2 linked regions of the Nothobranchius furzeri genome follow. Each later gene encodes a partner of the first gene's protein in a complex. Links are inferred from orthologs where the notes say so. Each region holds a gene or a part of one and is shown on either strand. Other genes may lie near its edges. The genes, in order: potassium/sodium hyperpolarization-activated cyclic nucleotide-gated channel 2 and pex5la.

Region 1 (9,558 bases):
CTGAGACCATGGTCTTGATTTGGAATAGGGTATAATGCCTTCTCCGGGTCAGGGATGAGGTCCTGCCCAAGTGGAGGAGTTTAAGTATCTCGGGTTCTTGTTCACGAGTGAGGGAAAATTGGAGCGTGAGATCGATAAGCGGATTGGTGCTGCATCTGCAGTGATGCGGGCGTTGTACCGGTCTGTCATGGTGAAGGGAGAGCTGAGTCAGAAGGCGAAGCTCTCGATTTACCGGTCGATCTACGTTCCTACCCTCACCTATGGTCATGAGCTTAGGGTAGTGGCCGAAAGAACGAGATCGTGGATACAAGAGGCCGAAATGAGTTTTCTCCGAAGAGTGGTTGGGCTCTCTCTTAGAGATAGGGTGAGAAGCTCGGCCATTCGGGAGGGGCTCGGAGTTGACCTGCTGCTCCTCCATGTCGAGAGGAGCCAGTTGAGGTGGCTCGGGCATCTGGTCAGGATGCCGCCTGGACGCCTCCCTGGTGAGGTTTTCCAGGCACGTCCAACTGGGAGGAGACCTAAAGGGCGATCCAGGACACGGTGAAGGGACTATGTCTCTCACCTGGCCAGGGAACGCCTTGGGATTCCCCCGGAGGAGCTGGCCCAAGTGGCTGGGGAGAGGGAAGTCTGGGCCTCTCGCCTTAGGCTACTGCCCCCGTGACCTGACTCTGGATAAGCGGATGAAAATGAATGAATGAATGAATGAATGAATGAATGAATGAATGAATGAATGAATGAATGGATGGATGGATGGATGGATGGATGGATGGATGGAGTAACCGTGCAGTAAAGTTAAATTAATTTCCACACTTTGATGATTTACATAGCTGATGGATACAAGTATAAAATGCTTCTGTCTGTTTTTGACATAATCAATTCAGAGCTGATTACATATCACATAACTTTTATTCTTCATGCACACAAATTGATATAATGTTGAAAAACTAAAGTGTTTAATCCATTCTGGTTCACCATTGCCGGGTGTGTCTTGCTCTTCAAATAAGCTGCAAGTCGATGATTGGTCAGATGGGTCGTATGTTGCATAAAAATGTAATAAAAATGTCCGTACATGGCAAGTAGGACACTTTGTGGTTCTGTACAGCCATAACATCAAGAGTCAGAAGCCTCATCCAGAAAAACTTCAAATCTGAGTTTTACGACGAGTCGTGCTGAACCCAGACAACGTCTGTGAGCAGGACTCAATCTGTTTAAAACCAATTTGGACTTGTGCCTCGTGTCTGGGTTGGTGTGGTCTTCCCCTGCTCAGCAAAAGGCTTGGCTGAAAGACAGACCTATGAACAACCAGCTTTTATCTCTATGAGAGAGACATGGCAACAAAGAGCCCAGCTGCCTGGCCATATTCCCCCTCATCCCTCTGCTTTCCCCTTTTATCTTTCCTGTCATCGCCCCACGGCACTGGTGGGGAGGCATGGGGGGATCAGGAGGTGTGTTTAAATCTCTGGCTTCTTTTCCACTGCATCTTCACCGATAACCTGCGGATGTTTCCTCTGTCTGTCACAAAGACTGATCGGTGCTGCACAAGATGGAGATATGAGTGACTTTCTTGATCTGTCTGAGAGAATTTTTTGCTTTTCTCCTTGAATGAGAGATAAAATATTTGCAGCGAATGTCACCTAGATGTGTTTCTGAGCACTAGAGCGCTGTATAGAGCTACCTAACTTTGCATAAATATTCTCAAAATGATGAGCCAACAGCGCAAATTATCAACTTTGAGGTCACCGAAAGACTTAACATACAAATTTGGTAAAATATTTGTATAAATGTTCCGTCAGACCTTCAGTGAACACAAGATCTACAGCAGAACTTGTTGCTATGAGCTGCTAATCTCAAGCAGAGCTAACAAAACTGATATTTTACATCATGTAGCATCTGCTGATGTGATGAAGGGCCATAGAAATGTCATTTCCACAATTTCCATAAATTTAAAATCAAGAAAATGAATTTATTTGAAGCCTTTTCTTCTTTACTAAAGCACAGATATCCCTACAGTAGCAACAGACAATAAAGACTTTGATGATCACTGATTACTAATCAGCCTTTAGCCAACTTTTACTGATGCTTTTCTCACTGTCAATGCTAAATAAAAGTACAAATCCAGCTGTGGGGCAAAAAAAACATGACTGAATCTGTAGATTCTTCCTCACAAGAGAATTAGCATCCATTAATGCTCTGCAGCATGTGTAAAAATACAGTTCAGGCAGATTTAATGCTTAAGTTCTGTCAAGAAGGCGTAAAAAAGGTCTGATTGTCTTTAAATTACTGAATTAATTATTGGGTGTGTGGGGGACTAAAAATCTTTCTTTGGAGATTATATCAATTAAGAAATGTCAGAAACAATGCGGTATACATGAGGAAAATTCGAAGAAATAGAAGAAATGTTTCCTCTGATGAGAATGTCAGTGCATGATCCGATTTGTGAGCAAGAACAGATGCATTTCACAACTTTTCATTACTAAGATGACTGCACATTGAGAGATCAGTGATGCAGAGGCAAGTAGCACTCATCTATAGAGACAGTATGAAGTGACAGAATCAGAAGAACCATCCCAGCTCTAATTCACAGCAAGAGAATGAGCGCATGCACGGCAAACACACTCTCATTAGGGTAAAGTATGCTTCTTTCCTTCAGTGATTTGGAAAATCATTCCCAGTATGCCATTATTAATGACTTCCAATCAATATGAGCTTATAGAGAGGAAATATAAGTACACTCTAATGTTCTTTGTCAGGGATGTGGAACCTGAGATTTCTCATTTACTAGCTTCAGTTGTTCAGGTTCTTGCACAACTGCTTGGAGGCACTTAAACTTAATAAAACAATGCATGTGAGGAGATGGTGCAGGACCGAGAAACTGGATTTTATAGTGAGTGAATCCAATAGTTCTCTGATACTATAAAATGCATTTTCCTGGAAATAATGTATCCAGTTGTTCTGGACGGGAGGATAACTACAAATCAGTCATAATGTTCTCAGTCATCATTTTAAAGAACAAATCAGTTTTGGCTTGCTTTTAGCACCCCCTAGTGTATGTTTGTAGAACCAAAAGCTAAACTTTTTTCCTCGTTGTGTGTTTGTCTTTTTAACACCTTAATGTAACCGCTGAAACGTCTCCCCAGTGTCTACAGGAGTGATTCATCACTAAATTAAACAAATCAGCTGTGTTCAATATCTAAAACTTGCAGGAAATGGGCTGGAACCAGACTGCAGCACCAGGTATGTCAGCTCATTTTTTTTAAAGTCCTAACAATGCCGCCTGCCAGTCTGAAGATGCAAGTGGAATATTCCGGCCACGGGGGGACAATAGGAACTGGGTGGCCTTTCATTAACACTGTTAAGGGTCATTTTTGCACATACTGGCTCAAGAAGATTATTTAAAAATGTGAAAAAGTTGCAAAGGTGTCCCACCATCTGTTTGGAGAATCATTTTTCTTTAATCATGTTGCTTTAAATGTAATCTGGTTAACCCTCAGCATTTGTTCTCACATAAAGATGATTTATGTAACTGGTTTATTTTGATCGTAATCGCCCCGTTAGTTAAAGCTAACCAGATTCCCTCATGCATACCTCCATCTTGTTGAGGGACACCCAGCAGTCTGATGGGAAGTCCTGCAGCATGGGAACCAGGAACTGTAGGCAGCCATCCCAGTGACACAGCAGCAGCATCATACCGATCAGGTTGATAATCCGCATCACCGCGCTGGCCAGGTCATAGGTCATGTGGAAGATCTGGATATTGACAGTGAAAAAGGAAGAAGTGTTAAGAATGATCTGACACGAGATGAGATGAGATCCTTGGGTTTCTGACATGGCAGGTAAATGGCGACAGTCCTGAACCAACATCAACAGGAGCAGGTGATACAGTTTTCACACAGAGATGTGTGACATCAGGCGGAGTTTTATACACGCACAGCCACATACATGTGTTACTCTCACGCAAGCCTGCGGGCACAAGGATACACCGACAGACATGTCATCACATCACACACATGGACATATTCACATGGACAGAGTGATGGACAGCAACCATCATGATCCTGAACAGCTGATAGTCCATGTTGTCTCACACATCAATCATGCTCACTCACTCAGTCCAATCATCAAACCTCAAGAAACCTCATCATGATGCTGCTTAGCAACCTAAAGGTTGAAAAAGTAATCCTCAGCCAGAAAAAATGTGTGGAAACGACATATAAACGTGCAGAACTGTCTGATGAAGTCCCCACTGAAGGAGGTGGGTCATTTCAGTGCAGCAAAGAGAGAGGTGATACTTGGTGACGCGAGTGATGAGGAATAGGACCTGACATGAATCACACGTGATGAACTTTCTAAATGCAGTTTTAACCTTTTTGATGTTTTCACTGTCACTTCCATCAGGCCAGAAACCAAGGAAAAGGGGAATGTGATCCTACTTTTACCAACAAGGAGGGATCCTCTGTTGCTGTCTCTGGCCGCTGGAGATTTTCAGCACCATGGACAGCTCTACAAACCCACCATGCAGTTTCAAGCTCAGAATCTTGGGTTTTCCAAACAAAACTCAACAGATAACTTAAAAACAACCAACATTTCTAGTGGATATTTTCTGTATGGGCCTGAGCTGTTACCATACACGTCATCATCCCTCATTCTCCATGCCTGTCAAGTATCACTTCCCATCATGCATCACTGAGTGTGTATGTGTGCATATCACATCATATCTTCAGAAATCAAATTATCCAAAGGTCAAGTGAGTAGCCAAGCTCCAATGAGCTGTTCACCACAGCAAAATGCCAACACCAGGCCGCTAACACTGGCAAGAATGAAAAGTCGAGTGATCTCATGACATCACTGGAGGTCTTTTGTCCTGAGCTGATCTCTTATCCCTCACACTGCTACAACAACCAAAGTGGCAGTGAAAGAAAGAGTCTTCCCAGCAACTAAACAGGACACAGTAAATGTATTTATTTAACTTTATTTCATGTAATTAGTGACATAACTAATGATAGACACTGCTCGCCCTCAGTGGTGATTGTTACTATCATCTTCCACCTCACCTGCTCCTTCTCTGGTGCCTTAATTGATTAACCATGTTTGTTCTGATAATAGTCTGCTTATTAGGCTGCCTGGTGCCACCTGTGGGACTGCTGGGTCAGACGGTGAGGCGGCAGAGTGGAGGGGAGCTCCAGTGACAGTGGGAGCAACAAAATGCAAGGTTTGTTCATGCTCAAATGTCTTACTAACATCAAATGTGTTTGTTTTTCTCCAGGTGGCAGGTGACAGCATCAATAAATCAGAAGAGCAGGCCACTTGGAGCAGAAAGAGGCAGACTGTTTATTTGGTCACGAGCCAACACCACCATTGGTGTTTCGGAGGATTTTACTAGTAAATATAACTACATGAGCTCTTACCTCTTCCCACTGGTGAATGTAACGTATTAATCTGGAGAGCCTCAACAGCCTCAGAAGACTTAGGATCTTGGTAAAGCGAACAATCCTCAGGGCCCGGGCGGTCTTGTACACCTCTGAGTCAATCCCTTTCTCCACTATAAGGAATATATAATCCACTGGGATGGAGGAGATAAAGTCTACAATAAACCAAGTTTTTAAGTATGTCTTTTTTATGGTTTCAGGGTCCAAAATAATGTCCGAGTTGTCCTCAATGATGATTCCAGTGCGAAAGTTGAGCACCAGGTCCATGAGGAAGAAGGTGTCGGAGACTACATTGAAGATGATCCAGGGCGTGGTGGTCTCTTCCTTGAAGAAGGTGATGCCCACGGGAATGATGATCAGGTTGCCCACCATGAACAGCAACATTGAAAAATCCCAGTAGAACCTGGCAGATGTGTGTGTGTGTTTAATGGGAAAGGGCAGGAGAAAGAAAACAAGACAAAAATAGTCAGATAAGAAAGAGGCGCTGCGGTGGAAAGCCTATAGAAACAAGAGGATCCTTAATTGGAGATGGAGGAAATGTGGAACTGAGCTTTTCATGCCTGAACATGCAGAGAATAATGAAAAAATGGTTTTCTGTTACAGATCAGCACATATTGTAATATATGTTATGTTATGTTAAAATGCAGCATAATTACATGTATTATGTATAAATTTTTCCAAATCTATAACGAAAAATATTTACTTTTTTACTTAGTCTTTGGAATATTAGATAATCAAACACAGAGCCTTAAAGTGTCTGTAAGATGATGATCGTAAATAAAATATTTGTTTTCTTGTGGTATTTTTATTGTAATAAGTGAATTTAGCCCAAATAATGAGGGATTTTGTGACTTGAATGTTTTAGGCTCAAACCGGGTCGTTAATGTTTTAAGTTGAACTGAAAATAGTGATTTTCGACATGAATGGTGTTTAGGTTGTCCAACAGAGGTGACAGGTGAGATCATGGTTGTTTCAGCCCGACAGAGGAAGCTCTGCGGGACAGGTGCAGTGCTGAGTCATTACGCTGCGACTTATGCAACAAGCTCTGATAATTCTACCTAAATCGCCGCTGATGATAATGTTTGATGCAACTTTGCTGCCGTGAGGGAGCAGCTTAAGAATAAGGAACAGAAGCCGGGGAGCAAAAAAACTCCTCTCATGTTGAAAGTAGGAGAGCGTCTATTAAGTAGCTTGTCGTCACGTTTTATCTTGAACATTGTCTTAAGTTGAGCTTTACTGACTCGCGGCGTTATGGGAAAACAAATGGGTCAAACATGAATGACTCGCGGGGGTGGGGGTAGAAGAGCGCTCCACACGCGCGACGCGACTCCAAATGAGAGGGGAGCTGTCCACTCCCTGTGGTGCTGAAAGCAACCGACCCAGCCCAGAATAAAACCTGTTGGTTTGCGCAACTAAAACGCAACTCCAACAACCAATACTTGCTCACAGAGACGCGTTAGTCACGTAGAGCCTTTTCGGCTCGTGGATTCCCCCTAAAGTTAAAGTCCCATTAGTTGTCACGCACACTGATATGTGTGCGAAATTTGTTCTCCGCATTTGACCCATCCCCTGGGGGGAGCGGTGAGCTGCAGACACAGCCACGCTCGGAGACCATTTGGTGGTTTAAATGCTTGAAAGACATAGCTGCTGGATGCTGAGCCACGTCACAAACACGGCGAATCCGTCGAGTAACGACATGATCCGGAGAATCTTGGCGGATCTGTCTCCAGTGAGCACGCTGGAGGTATTCGCACACTTTGCTCAAGGTGACATTCCATTACTGAGTGCATCGTACGCACACGCGCACGCGCTCATTGCCTCCATCCTGTCTGCACGGCTCTTGACGCAGAGTAGACAGCGCCACGTTTATTAGCCAGATCTTTAAAATAATAGCTGGACCATGAATGCCATCGTCTCTGTGCTCTCTGATAAATGTGAGCGTCATGCGTCGAAGAGCTGGAATAGCAGGCCTGGCTTGCTGAGAGCCCCAGACATGCTATTCTTCCGAGTGGAGCCGGATTTGTTTACAACCTTGAGAGGACACTCTTTGCTAAGTCCATTTGCCTGACAACAGGTTGTTTTTGGGAGGCGGTGTGCTGACAGCAGCCCATTAGACTGGAGCAGTACATCCTTTATGGGTTCATTAGTACGGGAGGAATGATAAATCAGGTGTAGCTCTAAAATGCGTTTGTTTCCTGTGCTTCATTACTCTGTAAAGTAAGTTATAGATGACGATAAGGACCCTTACGGGCCTCTCCTGGCAGCTCCATCTCTTACCTGAAATCGCTGTAAGGGTGGATAATCCAGTTTCCGGCTGATTTTACCCTCTCCTGCTCCTTTTCTACAGCTTTCTGACTACCATACATGCGTAAGGAAAATTTGTTAACTCCAGGCTGCAGCATACTACTAAACTGCCGCTGCATGAAGCTGGCTTGGCTGCCTCGAGGTTCTGCATCCTCGGCTGGCACAATTGGCGGTCCATCCTCCGGTTTCTGGAAAGTTACAGAGTTCCTTGGCTGTTGGGTCTGAGTCTGAGTCTGGCCGTGCAGCGAGGAAGATGCTTTTCGACTTGGTGCGTTAGAGAAGGACACCTTGGAGTCCTTTTTCTCAGGGGCACCGCTGGACACGGAGGTGGTCCCGGGGTTTGTGTTCTCCCCTCCTTGCCCTCCGGTTAGAGACCGGCCTGGTGTGATCGAACCGTCCATAGCGGTGGTCGAGTTACAGGCTCCTCGTTTGGCACCCCCTCCTTCCTCGGTTCTCCCCGACCCCGCTGGTTGCTTCTCCTGCTTGGAGATTATTGAGCGCAGGCTCCCGGTCCCCGAGTCCCTTCTGCATTCTCCGTTTTTGTTGCATTTCATGCTGGAAATGGGAGCGACGCCCCTGCAACCATCACTCGTTGTCGCGTTTAAAGCCTCTAACGTGGCAGTAGATCCCGACACCTCCGCCCCAGACGCTCGGTTGATCTCGCCGCGTCGGGCAGCATTGCCCGGACAGGGTGTCTCGGTGGCTCTGGAGGCAGCAGTGGGCCGTGAGGCGGCAGGAACGTCCTCTGTGTGCGTAAGGCTGGGCTCCTTGTTTGAGTTTCTCCTGGAAGCCGAGGACGCGGCTCCCCCTCCTGGCGTAAAGTTCTTCATCCTGATACTGCCTCCGCCTCCTTCTCCTCCACCTCCGCTGCTGCCGCTCCCCCCGGCTCGGCGCAAACGCGGATGCTGGAACTTGGACTCTTCTTCTCCTTCCTCCATCTCGTCCATCATGACGCTGCTGCTCACACCGGGCTGCTCGCCGCTTGGCGCACCGGGTGAACCACCAGGCTCCGCGCAGTTCTGTCCGCTGTTGCCTCTCGAGCATTTGGATGCGACAGTCTCCTTGGGTGCGCTGATGTGGCTGCACCCGCTGCCGCCGACCGCCTTCTTTTTCATGGTAGCAGCAGACACCTGTGAGACCTCATTCCTGTCCTTGACACACCGGATTTTGTCTCCAATTATCTTTAAGAAGGCCAATCAGAAAGAGGGGGGCGGAGAAGGGCCAGAGGAAGAGAGGGAGGAGTGGACGTGACTTTTTTGCAAACTAATGCTGTAATAATCTCAACATTATCAAATTGATGAAACCCAATTTTCTCTCTCAAATAAATTATCTCAACTTTTTAAAATGATTTTTTTCAATCGTGGTTTAATTTAAAAAATGCATAAAACGCAAGCAGGAGTGACGCATCTCGGCAGATCAAAAGTTTAATTGCCACGTGCTAATGAACATTCAAATGATGTCATATATTTTAGAAGATTTTAACAACGACAATGTTACCCTGATCTGGTGTTTAGCACCCTCTAGCGGCCTCGCAGATGGCGCACGAGATGTTTTCTGACAGATCATCAGAACTAGGAGATTAAAACACCGGTTCCCAAAGCTGAGGTTGGGACTCCCATTGTGGTTCATGAAACACCAAAAAGGTCTTCAAATGATCCCCAGAAATCAAGAAAATTTTTAAATTACCAAAAAGACACTTTTAAAAAATGCTACCAGAGAATAAAACGAGTAAAATAGTTGTTGAGATGGGTTGTAGTTTTTTATTCTACTCTGTTTTAGTTGACTAATGTTTGTGCTCTTTAGTAAAAGACGATTCACATGTTTCTTT
Region 2 (9,050 bases), on another chromosome or scaffold:
ATGAGGAGTTCGAGAAAACCTGGACACAGATTATTTTTGGGGGTTGGAATTTGAAGGATCAGGCAGTGGGAAACACTGGACCAGCTCTATACCCTTAAGGGGATCCTGGAGGGTGCATGGGAGTGTTTTGTATTTTGTGGATCTGGAGAATGTGTTGGACCGGGTCCCTCTGGGGGGCCTGTGGGGGTACTTCGGGCATATGTGGGACCAGGCCCTCTGATACGGGCTTTTAGGTCCCTGCATGACCGGTGTCAGAGCTTGGTACGCATTACCAGCAATAAGTTGGGCTCGTTTCTGGTGAGAGATGGCTGCCCTTGGTCACAGATTCTGTTCATAACTTTTACCGACAGAATTTCTAGGTGCAGCCAAGGTGTTGAAGGGATCTGATTTGGTGGCCTGAGGATCAGGTCTCTGCTTTTTGCAGATGATGTGGTCCTGCTGGCTTCATCAGAACGTGATCTCCAGCTTTCTCTGGAGCGGTTCACAGCCGAGTGTGAAGCAGCTGGGATGAGAATCAGCTCCTCTATATCCAAGACCATGGTCTTGAGTCGAAAAAGGGTAGAATGCCTTCAGGGATGAGGTCCTGTCTTAAGTGGAGGAGTTTTAAGTATTGGGGTCTTGCTCACGAGTGAGGGAAAGCTGGAGAGTGAGATTCAGAGGCGGATTGGTGCTGCATCTGCAGTGATGCGGGCGTTGTACTCGTCTGGAGCTCTCGTATTACCAGTCGATGGAGGGACTATGTCTCACCTGGCCAGGGAACACCTTAGGATTCCCCCGGAGGAGCTGGGCCAAGTGGCTGGGGAGAGGGAAGCCATGGGCTTCTCTGCTTAAGCTGCTGTCCTTGCAACCCGACCCCGGATAACCACATGAAAATGGATGGATGGATGGATGGATGGATGAAAGGTAGTTTGGAGTACATAGTCAGCATTAAATCTGCAGTAGAATGCGATCAGAGAAATATCACTTTGGAGAATCAGGCAGAAGTTTGCACTATCAGAAATCAGAATCATCCTTTTAAACCAACTTCAAACCTTCTCAGCAGTTTTACCAAATGTTCAGATTTTTGCACTTCTCTTTTGCACGAGACAGTTTCAATCGTCACTATTTTTTGCATCTGTTCATTTGTGTTGTTCTACTAATTGCATGAAGACAATTTACAGAGTAATTAATTTAGCCCATCAAGTTTGTTTAATTTCCAGCCATTTACATTTTATAACATACGACTCATGCAAATATCCTCTGATTTCTGCAGAAAAAGGCACTTTGTTCATGTTTCCACTTGTGCAATAAATTTACTCAAATAAGCAGTATGTAGTTGTTATTTTGGGATGGAATAAAAAAATGTTTGGTTTAAAAAATAGTTACATTAAAGAACTGTCTTGTGCAAAATCATCAAGGTGTGAACTAGTTTACCATCTATTCAGTTCATCAGTGTGGTAATATGTCATGAACACCATGCAACCCCACTCAAACACTGAATTAAAATCTCTGATTGCTGCCTTCTGCAGGTAAAACACTACCTGTTCACCATTTACTGCACATGCGCTTTATTTCTGCTCCTGCCTCTTTAAGTCCTCCCTAGTAAGAGCAAATCTAAATGAACCCTAACATTCCACATGGCCAAAGCTTCTTATTCATAGGAACGTCTTCAGCTGAAGGAGTAAAAAACAGGTTGTAACTCTATATGACATTGTTCTTGCACCAGAAGTGACTTGTCTCCATATTCACTATAAAAACTGCAGTTTCAATTCAAAACAAGTCATTTCAGACAAAGAAGACCCAACAACCTAAACTTTAAAGGGGCGTTGATCTACGTGGAACCTGGAAACTCCCAAACTAAGGCCATTCCATCAGCGTGACTGAAAATTACTTACAAATTTTGAAAATGTTTAAATGCTATTCTGTTCCAATCCCATGCTCCAGTAAATGCACATCACTCTCAGTTCGCAGCATAATCTTACTTTTAGTGTTGTTTAGATTTTTGGGACAACAGCTACAGTGGTGGAGTTTCCTTCTTCTCCAGGGGCAGAGTTAGCATCCATGAGAACGTTTCCAGCGCGAGCAATGGTGTACAGCTGTGACTTTTAAGTCTCCACCTACAGCCAAAGACATTTCTATGGCAGAGAATTACAAAAATTCAAAAGCTGGATGGCGTTCGTTTTCCCCACCAGTCCCTTGATAAAACCTTCCTTCTGACAGAGTGTGACATCCCAGCTGTGCTGCTTGGAAGATGAATGGTTCTGGTGCTGGTCTCTGGTCATCCCCGATAGTATTCTTTTAAAACACAGAATCAACACTTCCCTTTGGTCTGCCGAGGCAGACGGGGACCAACCGACAATTCAGAGCAGCAACATGAAAGATGACCTTTTTGCATAGGAGCCGACAACAATAAGACACTTTCTGCAGCACACCCAGACTGTGGACACGCTTGATAAACACTAGAGAGTGCAGAGCTGAGCGCTACAGCAGATAATCTATCATTGACTCTGTTGCGTGGCAAGTGGCATAATGTTCAGTTTACAAAATGACTTTCAGACTAGAACTCAAAGGAAGCTGTCAGCGCAACTTGCAAGGCGTGTTTGTACAAAACGCTTCTGAAGAGTTGCAGAAAATTAATCTTGAGAAGATTTTTATTATAAATTAAGTTATTTTTAAATGGATGCATATTAATGTAGCAAAACAAATAAGATGCAACACTCTGAGCAGCGTATGTAAATATTTAAATCATGCATGATGGCTAAGAAGGAGTGATTTAATTACAAGTATGAGTTTTGCAGCTTCTGCAGCTTGGATATAGATGAGCGCATTCGGAAATTCATCAAGCTGCAGTCTCAAGTCTTGAAAATACAAACATTTCCATGGGACATAATGAGTTGTAATAAAGCAAATATCCTCTGCAGAAATGAAAATAAGAATATGACGTGTGTATGAGCTTTTGTGGCCTCTGAAGAAAACATGCAATAACTGAAGCTGATGAGAAATTTAAAAATGATTACAGATCACTTGATCTCATCGGAATTGGATGCATTTCTCCAGCCAATCAGCTTAAAGGGAACAACAAGACTGCAGGAGCTGAGACAAAAACTGATAAGTAAAGAAAAAATGAAAAGTTGTTGTCTTTTAGTAAATAAATGTAAGTGGATGCATGCGTCTGAGTAAGGCTTGGGTAAGGGTTGCACATTCCACTTGGACTCAGGAAATTAACTGAAGCTAAGTGCAAAGGGAGAATCTTCTACAAGCGTGTAGGATTTAGACAAATATCCACCTTTGAAATTGCTTATTTATGCAGTTAGATAACTCTCCACTGACAGAGCAGAAGCCAGGAAGACAGTCTGGAGCTCCTGCTTATGTGAGGCAGGCTGCCTGTAACATTTGCTCTCTGAACAATCCTGAGTCAACAGTTTTCCTCTCGAAGCCTTGTCTTTTAGCTGCAAATGGCTTGGCGTGGGGTGTGGGGGTGGGGGTGGGGGGGTCCTCTGTGGGAGTCTTAAAAGTGGCTGTCACTCCTGCCCCCCTCAGTTCCACTGGATGAGTCAGTTTTTAATTGATGCGTTCTCTAAGGCATTGCTCGTACAATCTTTGCCCGTCCTTGTGCTCTTTAGGGAAATCACAAATTGCAGCGCAAATTCCATCACAAAGCAGTTCGTCCAAACCCTTTGGAAGAACCAGCCTCAGAACCTCTCCGAAGAATCAGGGCACAAAAATAAAAAATAATAAAAGCAATCACGGGGTTTGACCATCATTCTAGTGTGCAAACTAAACGCACCTTCCTCTTAGGCTAACTCAGAAATGTGCGCTTTGGGTTTTTGGCTTCTGGTTAGAGAGCAGAGAAGGAATGATGAGGGAGATTCATCACTTCTTGTTTTTACCCTCAAAAGTCTAAGTTAAAAGCCCGCATGAGGAGATCCAGGTCACCGATGTTTGCTGCCTGGAAGAGTTCAGGCTGGTCCATCATGGACAACGCTATCCTCAGAGCTGCCCAGATGTTTCCAGACATCACCTCGTGAGACTGCTGTCGACTTCGGCTTTTTCTCTGTAGACTTAAAGCAGTCAGGAAGTTGCTGGCTGCTTCTCTGGGGACACAAAAGCAACAAATCAATTTTTATCAAAGGACAAATGAGTGAGTGAACAGATTTCTATGGAAGAAAAACAGTCTCACTACAATGTGACTTACGGATGGATGGATAGATGGAATTTTTATTCTGTGAAATTAATTTAACAAAGTGCACCAACAAAAATTTCAATGTCAAAATTCAACAGCAGAAATTCAACAACAAACGAGATGACCTCTCCTGACCAAAACCAAAGCAATCGTCACTCAATCGAGTCAGCGACTCACTGGTGTCACAGGATCAGAGAAGCGTGATTTGATTGGTTAAGAGTCACTTGAGTCGCTTGATTGATGATTACTTTGGCTTGGGTCACCAGGAAGTCACCTCAGTTGTTGTTGAATTTTTGCTTTTGAAACTTTTGCTGGTGTATGTTAAGTGAAAAAACAAACAAACCAACCAAATACATAATTTCACAATATAAAAGTTCAATGTCATGAATTCAATGTCTAAAAAAGTCATATTCTGGTGACTGGTGAGACTGTATTTGTTCCATAGACTATTTTTTGTGATAATTAGCATCTGAACTTCCAGTTGATCGCAGCAACGATGGCAGTTTAACAACTTGTGGATTTTAGGGTTGCAAGTTTCACCATGAGCTCTGATTCGTCTCTGTATTAGATTATGGTGCAAAAGTTCATTTATTTCAGTAATCCAACTTAGACTGAGAAACCACTTAAAGGCTCAGGAACCCTTTGCATGTTCATCCATCCATTTTGAGCCGCTTATCCGGGGTCGGGTTGACGGGGCAGCAGCCTAAGCAGAGAGGCCCAGACCTCCTTCTCCTCAGCCACTTGGGTCAGCTCCTCTGGGGGAATCCTAAGGGAGAGACAAAGTCCCTCCAGTGTGTCCTGGGCCTTCCTTTAGGTCTTCTCCTGGTTGGACGTGCCTGGAAAACATCGCCAGGGAGATGTCCAGGAGGCATCCTAACCAGATGCCCAAGCCACCTCAACTGACTCCTCTTGATGTGGAGGAACAGCTGGTCTACTCTAGCCCCTCTCGGATGACCAAGCTTTTCACCCTATCTCTAAGGGGGAGCCCAGCCAGCTTGTGGAGAAAACTCATTTCGGCTGCTTGCATCAGTTATCTCATTCTTTTGGTCATTACCCAAAGCTCGTAACCATTGATGAGATTGAAATGTAGATCAACTGATAAATCGAGAGCATCGCCTTCGGCTCAGCTCTCTCCTCACCACGACAGGCCGGAACAACACCTGCATCACTCCAGACACAGCACCAATCCGCCTATCGATCTTTAGCTCCATCTTTCCCTCACTCGTAAACAAGACCCCAATATACTTAAACTCTTCCTCCGGCCAGGCTCCATTGGCTACCAGGTACTCGCCAATGTACCTCACATCCAGGTCTGGCTCCAGCGGGGGGGGGGGGGGGGGGGGGGGGGGGGGGGGCCTTGGTGACCTGCATCCAGGCAAGGGAACACTGTTTCTTCATAATGGGTCTTTGGGTTGCACCTTGGATCCCTCACCTGTTTCTTCCAGAACCTGTTTGCCATGGGTGACCCTATCAGAGGCATAAAGCCTCTGACAACTTAGCTTGTAGGATCATTGGGGCACTCAAACCCCTCCACCATAGTAAGATGGCAACCTTTTTAGGTGTTTGGATTCATTCCCACTGTGCAAAGACTCAGAGTGGACGTCCTACAGACGTGGTCTGGACTGATAGACTCAATATAGACATGATCTGCATGTCCATGCAATGTTGACTGTTTGCAAGGTTATCTGATTAGAGTGGGACACTCTGGGTCTAGAATATTGAACCTTTTCACATTATTCTAAATGTCTGAGATTTTGAATGTGGGGTTTTCATAAGCTGTAAGCCATCACAATTGTAACAAATAAAGGCTTGAAACATCTGGCTTTGCATATAAGGAGTCTGTCTCATTAAATTACTTTCACCTTTTAAGTTGAATTACTGAAAACATTTACTTTTGCACCATATTCTAGTCTTTTGAGTTTTACCTGTGTGTAACCAAAGGAAAATATTCAATTCTTAGTTTTGTCCCATATTTTAAGTGTTTCTTCCTCATGTACACACAAACTATGAATAGAATTTTAATTAGTTTTATTTTGAAATTGTTGATCTATAACCTAAGACTAAACACAATTTTATTACAGAACCAAAAAAGTAAAATGCTATGAATGGTTCAATAAATATGGCAACATGCAAAAATTGTTGTTTTCCTTTTTCTTTCCTTTTCCACCTAAAAGTTATTTCCATTGGGTTATTGGTGTTTTAGAAAACATTTTTTTTACAGTTTCACATAATTTTCCTGTGCATTTTGTGACTTTTGATTTCCATTTTATTTTATAAAATATAAACATTCCAATTCTTATTTAATGTTCCTGTCACAACATTTTTATTATGTTAAACGCATTCCATTCTCATTATGCAAATGAAGACGCCAGTTTTTTTTCAGGTTGTTGCATTCGATTAATGCAAAACATCACAGACAACATTAGCAGTGCTAGATGGAGCTAAAAGAGTCTGAAATAACTCTGCATTTTTAAAGTAAACTGGTTATGGTTAAATAACAAAGGGCAGAATACCACCAGTAAGGCTAAACGTGTTTGAATCAGTTAATACTTGTATTATTCTAATTTTAGACATATTTTTTCTATTATTTCTCTTTTGCATTTTCTCCTCCTTTGTTATTGTTTGTCTTTTTACATGTATGCATTCACATAGGATAGAAAAAAAACCCATTCCAAAAAGCTTCATTCAACTTAAGCACAGCATATTTGAATCCCTTGGGAAAATTAGGAATTTCATAAACTTTTAATTTGAATTGGTTCACTCTGCTCACCACTAACATTGAGCTTTTCTATTTTTTATGTCCTGAAAATTAAAATCATTAAATAAAAGCAAATAAATAATTTTGATTTTGCTCAGGACTAAAAATGAGAAACATGCAAATCAAGCCAGGACTGTCCTTGTATTGCTGCAGGTCACTCACCTGTGTGCCCCCAGATTAATGCAGCTGATGCCCAGGTTGTAGCGCGACCGGATAAACCCTGGATGCAGCTCCAGGGCCCTCGTGTAAGCCTCCACCGCCTCTTCACTCCGGTCCCCATTAGCCAGCGTGGCTCCCAGTCGATTCCACAACAAGTAGTCCTGGATGGAGGAGGAGTAAAGCCTTGGGTTAACTAGTTCAGTGTCGAGTGGATGTCTTTCAGTGAATCTACTTTAAAAATTAGATGTTAAAAAAATGTAACAGATCATTTAAAAGGCTTTCCATTTTTAAACGGCTCAGAGATCAGCTGTGTGTCCGGACCGATCGATGGATCAGAAAGAGTAAATCTTACTTTTTAAAAGTCAAAATACAAACAGTTTCAGGCCCTCTGCAGCTTTCAGATACAAAACAGTTCAAAGATAAGAAGAATTACATAATTCAATATATGAATAAGTAAACACATTTGAATCTGGATCAATGGCAAGAACACAACATGGTGATATAATAGGAGTTACATCACACTGGTTATCCTTGTTGTTCCCCACCTGCGGGCAGACGGGCACGAACATAGGTCAGTGGCTTCTGCAGTCCTTCATCCGTGGTTTAGCCCAGCAGCAGGATATAATTATCCCCCTTTTGTTTTCGGAACAGTTTTTATTCCAGTAGGGGAGCAGATATTATCAAGTCAAATGTGGGGGATTAGATTTAACATTGAGTCGTATTCACATCATCCTGGGACAGCAAAGGGAGGACGTTCACTGATTCACAAGAGGGCGATGGAATAAAAAGTTTGCTGCTGCGAACATCTTGTCTTATTTTTATGTATTGTTATATGTTTGTGTCATCATTCACGTACACTATACTTTACTGTTGTTGTTCACAGGTCCAAAGTAAATTTAACCCTGAATTGGATAACTTCTCTAAACTGGTGAAGATCTCATAGATTTGGACCAAATAGTCAAGCCCTCATATAATGTTTGGACAATAATTTAGATTTTCCTGAGCCACACAAAGAAAATTCATATTTGTAGCTTCAGTTTTCATTTCAACACTTATCCAAAATGTGGTTTTTTACTGCCTCTTTAAACAATCCACATAAAAAGCCAACTTGTCAATTGATTTTTGGGTTATAACTGTTTTTAGGAATAATGCACCTAAAACAAGTTATTTCAAAAAGTCCCCATTTGTGATGCCACAAAATGAAAAATTCGGATAGAACAACCTCACACTTGCAAGAGAGGGCTGCTGTTGGAGGAACAGCCACTCTACTCCAGGCCCCTCCCGGATATCGGATCTTCTCAGCTTATAGCAGCTTGAGTGGGGGATGGGTGGGCGTGGCCAGCTCTAGCTTGTTTTCTTAAAGTGACAGAGGCCTGAATAATTCAGGAAGGTACTGATACTGTCAAGAATAAAACTGCTGATTTCACTTTATGTGAGAGATTTTACACAAAGAACATGTTTTTTTGACCATAGAACTATATTAACTTAAGAAAAAAATCATAACATGTGAGTTGTATTGATCAAGGACATCATTCAAGTTTGTCACTGTCTAATCTGTGTGTGTGTGTGTGTGTGTGTGTGTGTGTGTGTGTGTGTGTGTGTGTGTGTGTGTGTGAAGTCTCTTACCTCAGGCCGCACTGACAGGGCAGTATTGAAGGCCTCTACAGCTTTGTTGAACTCCCCGCTGAGGTTGTAGAGAACCCCGAGGCCTGTCTGCAAATCCGGGTCAATGCTGTCCGAGTTGTGCTGAACCGCTTCCAGGAAGATCTCCTTGACCTCTGGCAGCAGTGAGCTGTAAACACACACACACACACACACACACACACACACACACACACACACACACACACACACACACACACACACACACACACACACACACACACACACACACACACACACACACACACACACACACACACACACACACACACAGAGAGAGATTATTGTGACTTAAGGCTGCAGCGTGTG

The links.
Region 2: the proteins of potassium/sodium hyperpolarization-activated cyclic nucleotide-gated channel 2 (region 1) and pex5la are in contact, whole or in part, in a crystal structure (PDB 4EQF), measured with the Mus musculus proteins. The link is inferred for Nothobranchius furzeri from reciprocal best matches to the Homo sapiens genes HCN2 and PEX5L. Residues at the interface, in NP_032252.1 of Mus musculus: Leu859, Ser860, Ser861, Asn862, Leu863; in NP_001156988.1 of Mus musculus: Glu315, Glu317, Val343, Asn347, His426, Asn453, Arg454, Ala457, Thr458, Ala460, Asn461, Tyr472, Arg484, Tyr487, Asn488, Ile491, Ile494, Ile537.

The regions. Positions count from the first base shown.
Region 1 is NC_091751.1:56,767,043-56,776,600, reverse strand, and holds the start of potassium/sodium hyperpolarization-activated cyclic nucleotide-gated channel 2, read right to left. Parts: upstream 8,984-9,558; 5' UTR 8,846-8,983; coding exon 7,704-8,845; intron 5,830-7,703; coding exon 5,406-5,829; intron 3,748-5,405; coding exon 3,586-3,747; intron 1-3,585. UniProt on the Homo sapiens protein: Hyperpolarization-activated ion channel that is permeable to sodium and potassium ions. Displays lower selectivity for K(+) over Na(+) ions. Contributes to the native pacemaker currents in heart (If) and in neurons (Ih).
Region 2 is NC_091748.1:59,195,529-59,204,578, reverse strand, and holds the end of pex5la (PEX5-related protein), read right to left. Parts: intron 8,872-9,050; coding exon 8,706-8,871; intron 7,241-8,705; coding exon 7,083-7,240; intron 4,074-7,082; coding exon 3,872-4,073; 3' UTR 3,667-3,871; downstream 1-3,666. UniProt on the Homo sapiens protein: Accessory subunit of hyperpolarization-activated cyclic nucleotide-gated (HCN) channels, regulating their cell-surface expression and cyclic nucleotide dependence.